Arabidopsis thaliana: one gene and its partner. The protein of the gene in region 1 interacts with the protein of each later gene in a pairwise test. Each region holds a gene or a part of one and is shown in the gene's direction. Other genes may lie near its edges.

The links. The genes of interacting proteins can lie anywhere in the genome.
Region 2: the proteins of AT1G66300 (region 1) and AT2G04080 interact in a protein complementation assay, tested with the Arabidopsis thaliana proteins (one large-scale study listed by BioGRID).

What each region holds. Positions count from the first base shown.
Region 1 is NC_003070.9:24,715,823-24,719,951, reverse strand, and holds AT1G66300 (F-box/RNI-like/FBD-like domains-containing protein), read left to right. Parts: upstream 1-1,901; coding exon 1,902-2,870; intron 2,871-2,944; coding exon 2,945-3,085; intron 3,086-3,194; coding exon 3,195-3,455; 3' UTR 3,456-3,587; downstream 3,588-4,129.
Region 2 is NC_003071.7:1,356,633-1,361,354, reverse strand, and holds AT2G04080 (MATE efflux family protein), read left to right. Parts: upstream 1-1,951; 5' UTR 1,952-2,195; coding exon 2,196-2,441; intron 2,442-2,529; coding exon 2,530-3,074; intron 3,075-3,168; coding exon 3,169-3,255; intron 3,256-3,335; coding exon 3,336-3,392; intron 3,393-3,468; coding exon 3,469-3,913; coding exon of another isoform or gene 3,914-3,943; exon of another isoform or gene 3,944-3,977; coding exon 3,978-4,028; 3' UTR 4,029-4,199; downstream 4,200-4,722.

The sequences.
Region 1 (4,129 bases):
CTTTGGACATGAACAACCTATTTGACATCCCTATGGTTGTTCCAGAAAGGAATCTGTCATCCTCAGAGAACTGCTTACCATTCCAAGACGCTCTAGCTCATGCCAAGTTGTCGTCCTCTGATCCTCCTTGACGGACATTCGAGGTTCTGTTTCTGTACTTTCATTAATGTGAACTATGTTGTGTTATATATATAGATCGTAGACCATATGTTTTGCTTAAATCTTTCAATTGAACCAAAGATGAAAGATGTAATAAGGTTCGTGTAAGAGCCAAGGATTAAAGTTTTTAGCAACTCTTTATCAAACTATTGTTTTTTTATTCATTGTGGTGAATTTGATGCCTTATTGATCTTATACATGTTTGGCCTAAATGTGTAATGTTACTTCTTTTGACTAAAAGACATAGTTTTGCTCAACAATAATTCAGACGTTGAGTAGAAAAATATATAATGGTATAAGATCTGTGTAAAATAGCACAAGATGATTCAGTTTAACCAAAAATGGTATAATACACAAGGATTAAAGTTTCTAGAAACTCTTTACCATTACAGCGCTGATACCCAAGGATGATCAGATGAAAAACTAAACTATAACAGGTTTAGTAATCTGCATGTTAACGGGCAAGTATGATAATTCGGATTTGTAGAAATATTCCGAATTGGTAAAGGACCATATTTATATTCTGGTATTTCAAGTAACTAGAAATTGTTTTGAATAAATATTACGAAAAGGTTTTGATTTTTTATAGAAATATTAGTTTGAGAAACTTTCGATAATTCTATAAAACTTTTAGATAATTGAGGTCACTCTATTACTTTAACAACACACGTCGTATATATTTAGTTTGGTTTGTTTTTAGTAAATATGTAAATTATATAAACTTTAGTAATTTAGTGTTTATGTTTTCAGTATGACTAGAATTTAACCCGCGGTATACCGCGGAGACAATTTATTTTTTAAAGTTACTATATATAAAAGTTTGTAAATTATATTTATCTATAAAATATTTTTATTTTATAGTTTACGATTGTTATTAAGTAACGTCCTGTCAAACCCGTCCCGCCAATTCGTCCCGTAAAAAAAACTCACTGATTTTATTTATGATATGTTTATGAATCATTGTCTAAATATTTTTTAATTTTGTAGTAATTAAATGCTATCAAATATCTCTGCGGTTTGATGATTATAATCTGCGGTTTGATGATTATAATCGAATTATTATAGTCATGTAGAAAAACAATATCAAAAATGATAATTTTGTAGTAATTAAATGATATTAAATATTTCGAAAGTTTTATTTTAGTAACTAATCGTGTAGTTAATGTGGAGAGATTTTGGGAAGATTGTCAAATATTTAATTCAAAGATTTTCTTTATAAGTATCAAAAACAATTATTAAATGCCAGTGGCAGCCACTGTAAATAAATCCAAACTCCAGGATTTATTTCATAAAGTGGCTGCAAAAATGTATATATAAATATAAATTACATTTGTTCTCCGGTTATTCAATAAATAATGCAGATATTTAAAAAAAAAAAAAAGAGAACGAAGAGAAAATGAGTCATATGGGCCAAAAATTGACAAAAGTCATGTAGCAAGCAGACATTGTTTAGTCAGATGTTATTTTCTTAATTCTTTTTTAGTCTTAGGTTATTTGCATATTCCCTAATTTTTCTTTTGGTCGGGATTTGTTGGAAGTTTATTCAATATATAAACTAAAGCAGGTTTTACAAAAATGTTTATGTTTAGTAAAAAAGTTAAATATACTAATTTCCCATTAAAATCCATCTTTAATATTTGACCACAAACTGAGATATTTTTAAAAGTTAACGTCGTTTGTTTAACAGTTATCGTTTCATTTTCACCAACTCTATGCCGCTTTCTTCGCAATTTTGAAGTTACATGGACGAAGACGGAGAGAAACGTGTTCGTACCAAACGATTATGTTCTCCAGAATCTTCGGACAAAAAATCTGGTTATGAAGTTGATTGGGTAAGAGATTTGCCAGAATCTTTGATTTGTCATGTTCTCTTGAATCTTTCGACAAAAGATGTGATTAAAAATTGTGTCTTATCCACGAAATGGAGATATCTGTGGAGGTATGTTCCTGGTTTGGATTTGGATTGTAGTGATTTCACCGAATACAATACTTTTGTGAGTTTTGTGGATAGGTTTCTGAGTACCAACACTGAGTCGTACTTAAATAAGTTTAAGTTAGGATTCGATTGCGATCTTGTTGGGGATGAGGAGACTGGTAATGCTCAAATGGCGCGGTGGATCAACGATGTTGTCAAACGGAAAGTTCAGCATCTCGATCTTGAGTGGGGTGCATTGGAAATACCTCCAATAGTTTACGTGTGTAAGAGTTTGGTATCTTTAAAGCTTTGTGGTGTAATCTTACCAATTCCTGAGTTTGTTTGTTTACCGTCTGTGAAAGTTATAGTTCTAGATTGGGTTAAGTTTGCAAATGATTTGGCTTTGGAAATGCTTATCTCAGGCTGCCTAGTTCTCAAAAGCTTAACGTTATGCAGAAGTAACAATGACAATGTAAAAGTGTTACGTGTGAGATCTCAGTCTCTATTGAGCTTCAACTATAATGGCCCCAATACCATGGGTCCTGAATATGAGGAACTAATAGTTGAAATTGATACTCCCAAGCTTCAAGATCTAACGCTCTCTCACCGTATGACTGCAAGTTTCATAATAAAGAATCGGAGTTCTCTTGTAGGGGCACATATCAATATTGAGTTTAACTTTTGTTTTGGAGAGAAGTTTGATCCGAAGAATCTACCAAAGAGAGAAATGATTCGTAATTTTCTTGTCGGGATCTCTGGTGTTAAAAATATGGCCATCGCTGCATGTACACTTGAGGTAACGTTTATTGAATTCGCTATTTTAATGTTAACTTTATCCTGATCTTTTTCTTGTTTTTGTTGTTGTTGTAGGTCATTTATGATTACTCAAGATGTGAACCACTGCCCTTATTTCGTAACCTATGTCTCTTGAGTGTTGAGTTCTATGAGGACAGATGGGAAATGTTGCCATTCTTTCTTGAGAGCTGCCCGAATCTAAAATCTCTTGTCGTGGTAAGGATTGTTTACTTAAAACTTATGTACTTTCTTTGGTATAATAATGCAAATGGGGAAAGTATCATAATTACTCCAACTTGTTTCTTTCACTTGGTTGTAATTTCAGGGATCTAATAGATATAGAATGGAGAGAACTAGTATCATATCAGGACATCGATGTCTCTTATCATCTCTCGAGTATGTTGAGATAGAAACCCCATTGACAGGGGAGGTCTTTGAGATGAAACTTGTGAGTTACTTACTTGAGAACTCACCAATCCTCAAGAAACTCACTATACATTTGCATGATAATTCTAGAAAGAAAGCAGAATGTGAAATCCTTACCATTCCAAGACGCTCTAGCTCATGCCAAGTTATCCTTCTCTGATTCACGTTGACGAACATACTGTGAACTCTGTTGTCTTTCGGTACTTTTACTACTATGAACTATGTTGTGTTGTAGATCTGTAAGAAGATCATATGTTTGTCTTAAATATTTCAATTGAACCAAAAATGTAATAAGGTCCGTGTAAGAACCAAGGATTAAAATTTCCAAAAACTCTTTATTTATCTGGACTATTTGATTTTTTTATTCATTGTGGTGAATTTGATGTCTTGTAGATCGTAAGGAAAATTTATTTTTTGACTCAATGAATTGTTTTTGCTTAACAATAATAATTCAGAGGTTGAGTAGAAAAAGTATAATGGATTACAAAAAGGAAAAACAAAGCACAAGATGTTTGATGCTTCAGTTTAACTGAAAATGTTATAAGATTTGTGTAAGACCCTGGGATTAAAGTTTATAGAAACTCTTTACCAATATAGCTAGATGGTTAGATGAAACTAAACTAAAAACCGAATAAACCTAGCTCGCTTTCTTTTTTCCTTTTCTAAGGTTGCAAGAAGGAATCCAGTGTCGGACCAAATAGCTCCGCTTAAAGCAGGCAAGACAGCCAGTGCAACGATTCATAGACCACCGAAAGCTGTAGCAGGTGTAATATATCAGTTAACTTATTTATTTATTTTTTGCTAAACAAATCAGTTAACTTATTTAACACTTTT
Region 2 (4,722 bases), on another chromosome or scaffold:
AGTGATTTAGCACCACTCAGTTAACTCGACTCTAACCTCAATAAACAAAACCTTCGAAATGTTTTGTCGGGCTCGGCACATTTAGCGTGAAAATGAGTTTTTTTTGTGTGAAAATAGATAGATCGAGATTGACTTAACATAAAATGGAAAGATTGACTCGAAAATACTTTCAATATCATCAATATTGAGGAGGAGAAAAGAAAAAAATACCGAAGATAAAAATTTTGGAAGGAAAACATATTCGAAGACCTAGATGGAGAAGTATAAATACAAATGAGCAGTCGCAAAGTGGGGCATCCACAATTCGTCTCTAAAGATCCCTAGACATCCAAATTCACAAGAAAAAAAAAACTAACTTGTTATCAAAGTTAGTTCAATCTCTTTGTAATTGTATCAGTTCGTTCTTGAGCTTAATAAATAAAATTATTTCCGCGACACTACTTCCCTTAATTAAGCTTGCCGGTTTATATGTGCAGATTTGACTCACACAATAGACATTAGACAATATAGTATGTTTTTGAAATATATTTTTTGAGGTTATTTCATGATAAGTAATACTGCAAAATATAAATTTTTCAAACATAAATTTATACATTGAACCTCATATCTATTTGTTTCTATTATTTAATTTATTTTAATGACAATGTGTTCTATACTATATTTAAATTTTAGTAAATAATTTTCTTAAATTATATAATTTTTCAATACTTTCTTAATAAACTTCTAGATGTGAAATAGTTTTATAAAAAAAAAAATACATATTCTGGTTATATTTTTTCATATAGAAAAGAAATGGTGTGATTCATATTTTTTCAAGTTTTCTAAGAAATCAAATAATGAGTAAGTCAACAAATAAAATCTCATATAGTGGCTAAGAACTTGAAGTCATTTAGTGAGAAGGAAACCAATAAAAAAATTTACCTATAAATTAAAGGGCAATTAAATGTAAGAACAGTTTAAATAATTAAAAATTATTAACTAAAGTAATGAATCTATTAATTAATTGAAAATAAATATATGTGAAAGAATATTTGTACAAAAAAGCAAATAAAATATCTAGTAGATATATTTCTGAAATAAGTATTTAGAAATTTAATTTTTTGTTTTACTTGATTTTTCAAAATTTTATACCAAAATACAATTTATTTTAATCTTATAATTTTATTTCTAATCAAGGTGTTCCAATTTCATTTCGCTAAATGTTATAGAACCGATCCCAATACGAACGCGAACCTCACTTATCAGCTCTCAATCTCTCAACTCGAAGTTTGTTTGTGTGAATCAAAGAAGAAACAGAGAACAACACACAAGAATTTGTTACCCAGTTCAATCTAATCTGTGTGATTAGATCTACGTCTGGAGCCAGATAGATCCGGCAATCCACTATATGAGATGTTTACAAACTTCTCTGAGCTCAATACAAGATCAATGAAGAACCCTAATTTTCTGGGTTTAAGAGAGATCGTAACAACTTTCTAACGGAATGAAGAAGAAGAAGATAACAGACTTCTATTTATATGTGTTTGACTTCGAGCATCGAAGCCTCTTTCAGAATGAGAGTCTTCCAATCATAACTTCCTTCTTCTGTAAACCAAAGCGAACCGTTTCAATAACCAACTCCAATCTGCTGTTAAACCGAATGTCATCAGACCAACATTAAACCGGAATTGGATCATATTCATAACATTATATCAAACAAGGAAAAAAAAACTATTCACTATTGTCGGCAATAATTAACTTTTTGAAAAATCGAAACAACAAGGCCACCACGTCTACAAAAATCAGAAACCAATTCATGCACATGATATATGTGTTTAATAAATATAATTTATATGGACCCTCTTAATAATATAATTTATATGGAGCATTTATTATTATGGGTACATCATATCATATCTGTTTTTACCTTAATAAATAGAATAACATTTTTTTCTGTGACACACATTGAAGAGAGAAAACTATTTGTCCCACAGTCAATTACGGGTCTAAAATTTGGTAGTAACAATAATACTTTCATATGCATATCTTAACATGAGAAAAAAATGTTTTCACTGGTCGAGCAGAGTTATATATATATTTAGATATTGACGAAAAGTCTTCATTGACAATAAATTACATTGGTTTCGTCCATCAGTACAAGATTGGATATGATCTAAAAAATCAGAGGCAAATCAATCAAGATTAAGAAGACGACAATGGAAGAGCCATTTCTTCCGAGAGACGAGCAGTTAGTCTCTTGTAAATCCACATGGCAAAGTGGTCAGGTCACCGTCGAGCTGAAGAAAGTGAGCCGCTTGGCCGCTCCTATGGCCACCGTAACCATAGCTCAGTACTTATTGCCTGTCATCTCAGTCATGGTCGCCGGCCACATCGGCGAGTTGGAGCTCGCCGGTGTCGCGCTTGCCACGTCTTTCACAAACGTTTCCGGCTTCAGCATAATGGTAATTATGCTATTACTCTCTCCTCTTCATTTCAAGAACTCAATTAACTTTCCAATATTGAAATATTGCTGCATTCTTTTTTGTGTAGTTTGGGTTAGTTGGTGCATTGGAAACTCTTTGTGGCCAAGCCTATGGAGCAGAACAATACGAAAAAATCGGAACCTATACATACTCTGCAATGGCTTCCAACATACCAATTTGTTTCATCATATCAATTCTATGGATTTACATCGAAAAGCTCTTGATCACTCTCGGGCAAGAGCCTGACATCTCTAGAGTCGCTGGCTCCTACTCATTGTGGCTCGTACCGGCTTTGTTTGCCCATGCTATTTTCTTACCACTGACTCGGTTTCTGCTAGCACAAGGGTTGGTTATTTCCCTGCTATACTCTGCCATGACCACCCTTTTGTTCCATATTGCGGTTTGCTGGACTTTGGTTTTCGCGCTTGGTCTTGGAAGCAATGGAGCTGCTATTGCTATTAGTTTGTCTTTCTGGTTTTACGCTGTGATACTCTCATGTCATGTGAGATTTTTCAGCTCTTGCGAGAAGACTCGCGGATTTGTATCAAATGATTTTATGTCTAGTATCAAGCAGTACTTCCAGTACGGAGTCCCATCCGCTGGATTGATTTGGTAAGTAAACCATTTTCACGTGTCTTGTTGGTTAAGTTACAATACACCGATGCTTCCTCTTATCTTGCTTGCATTTTTTTGTCTTCTTTGATAGCTTAGAATGGTGGCTGTTTGAGCTACTCATACTCTGCTCAGGTCTTCTCCCAAACCCAAAACTCGAGACATCTGTTCTTTCGATTTGGTAAGTATCATATTACTTCTTTTTATCCTATGTGTTCTCTTTACCAAAATGTATTAATCTTATGTCTTTCATGTTATCAGTCTTACAATAGGAACTTTACACTATGTGATTCCATCTGGAGTCGCGGCGGCTGTGAGGTATGATCTCAACTCTCAAACCAGAACAAGTGTTCAACAATTCCTTTCTCAACATTAGTCATTTGGTTTCTTGAAGCACACGAGTGTCAAACAAATTGGGAGCTGGAAATCCTCAAGTTGCTAGGGTTTCCGTATTGGCAGGGCTTTGTCTCTGGCTTGTAGAGTCAGCTTTCTTTAGCACACTTCTCTTCACCTGCCGAAACATCATAGGCTACACATTCAGCAACAGCAAAGAAGTTGTTGACTATGTTGCTGACATATCTCCTTTGCTCTGTCTCTCCTTCATCCTCGACGGATTAACGGCAGTTCTAAATGGAGTGGCTAGGGGATGTGGGTGGCAACACATTGGAGCTTTGATCAACGTGGTGGCTTATTATCTTGTAGGAGCTCCTGTTGGAGTTTACTTAGCTTTCAGTCGTGAGTGGAATGGAAAAGGACTCTGGTGCGGTGTTATGGTTGGATCCGCGGTGCAAGCCACTTTACTGGCTATCGTCACAGCCTCCATGAACTGGAAGGAACAGGTTAGAGTTTGTTACATTCTAGTTTTTTGAATGCTCTGAAGTAACTGGACTCTATTATTTGCAGGCTGAGAAAGCAAGGAAGAGAATAATCTCTACTGAAAATGGATTGGTTTAAATAAAGGTTGTTCCTAAGAGCTATCTCAAAGTATTTGCAAGTCATGTGCAAAAAAACATGTAATGTTATTTTGATGGGTTATAATATTTTTTTGTAAAACTTTTATCCAGGATTTATACATTTTTTCTTGAGTTGATATTTTCGTTAGTTAGAAAAATTATTCGAATTGCACATGCTGAAAGATGATTTATTTATTTTCTTCAAACTTTAATATACAAATGTAACAAGTAAATAAAAACTCATTAGTTCCAAACACCATGGGATTAAAAATGGCCTCAGCTGCAATCAGTCCTATCTTTATAAAAAACAACTATGTGAGTCCTATCCATTATCCCAATAAGTCCACTAAAAATGGCCTGTATGGCACAACCAGATTTAACACTTAGTATTAACTTTAAAATTCACAAAAGAAAATAATCTCTCTTATATATGGTCCAAACATAATAACTTTACACTAATGATCCATAAGAGTTTTCACATACATGTTTCTTGACGTAAATCATTAAAAATATATAGATGAAAAATACTTATAGAAGATTCAAATTCCACATAGTCCACTAATGTTATGTCATTTAATTAGTAGGTTTAGTGGTGAAAACTTAATACGAATTCCTACCTTTTTATCAGCCTCAGCTGCACGTTTGAACTGTCTAGTTGTTATTTAAACCAAAAAAATGTTTTTGTTAATTAAGAC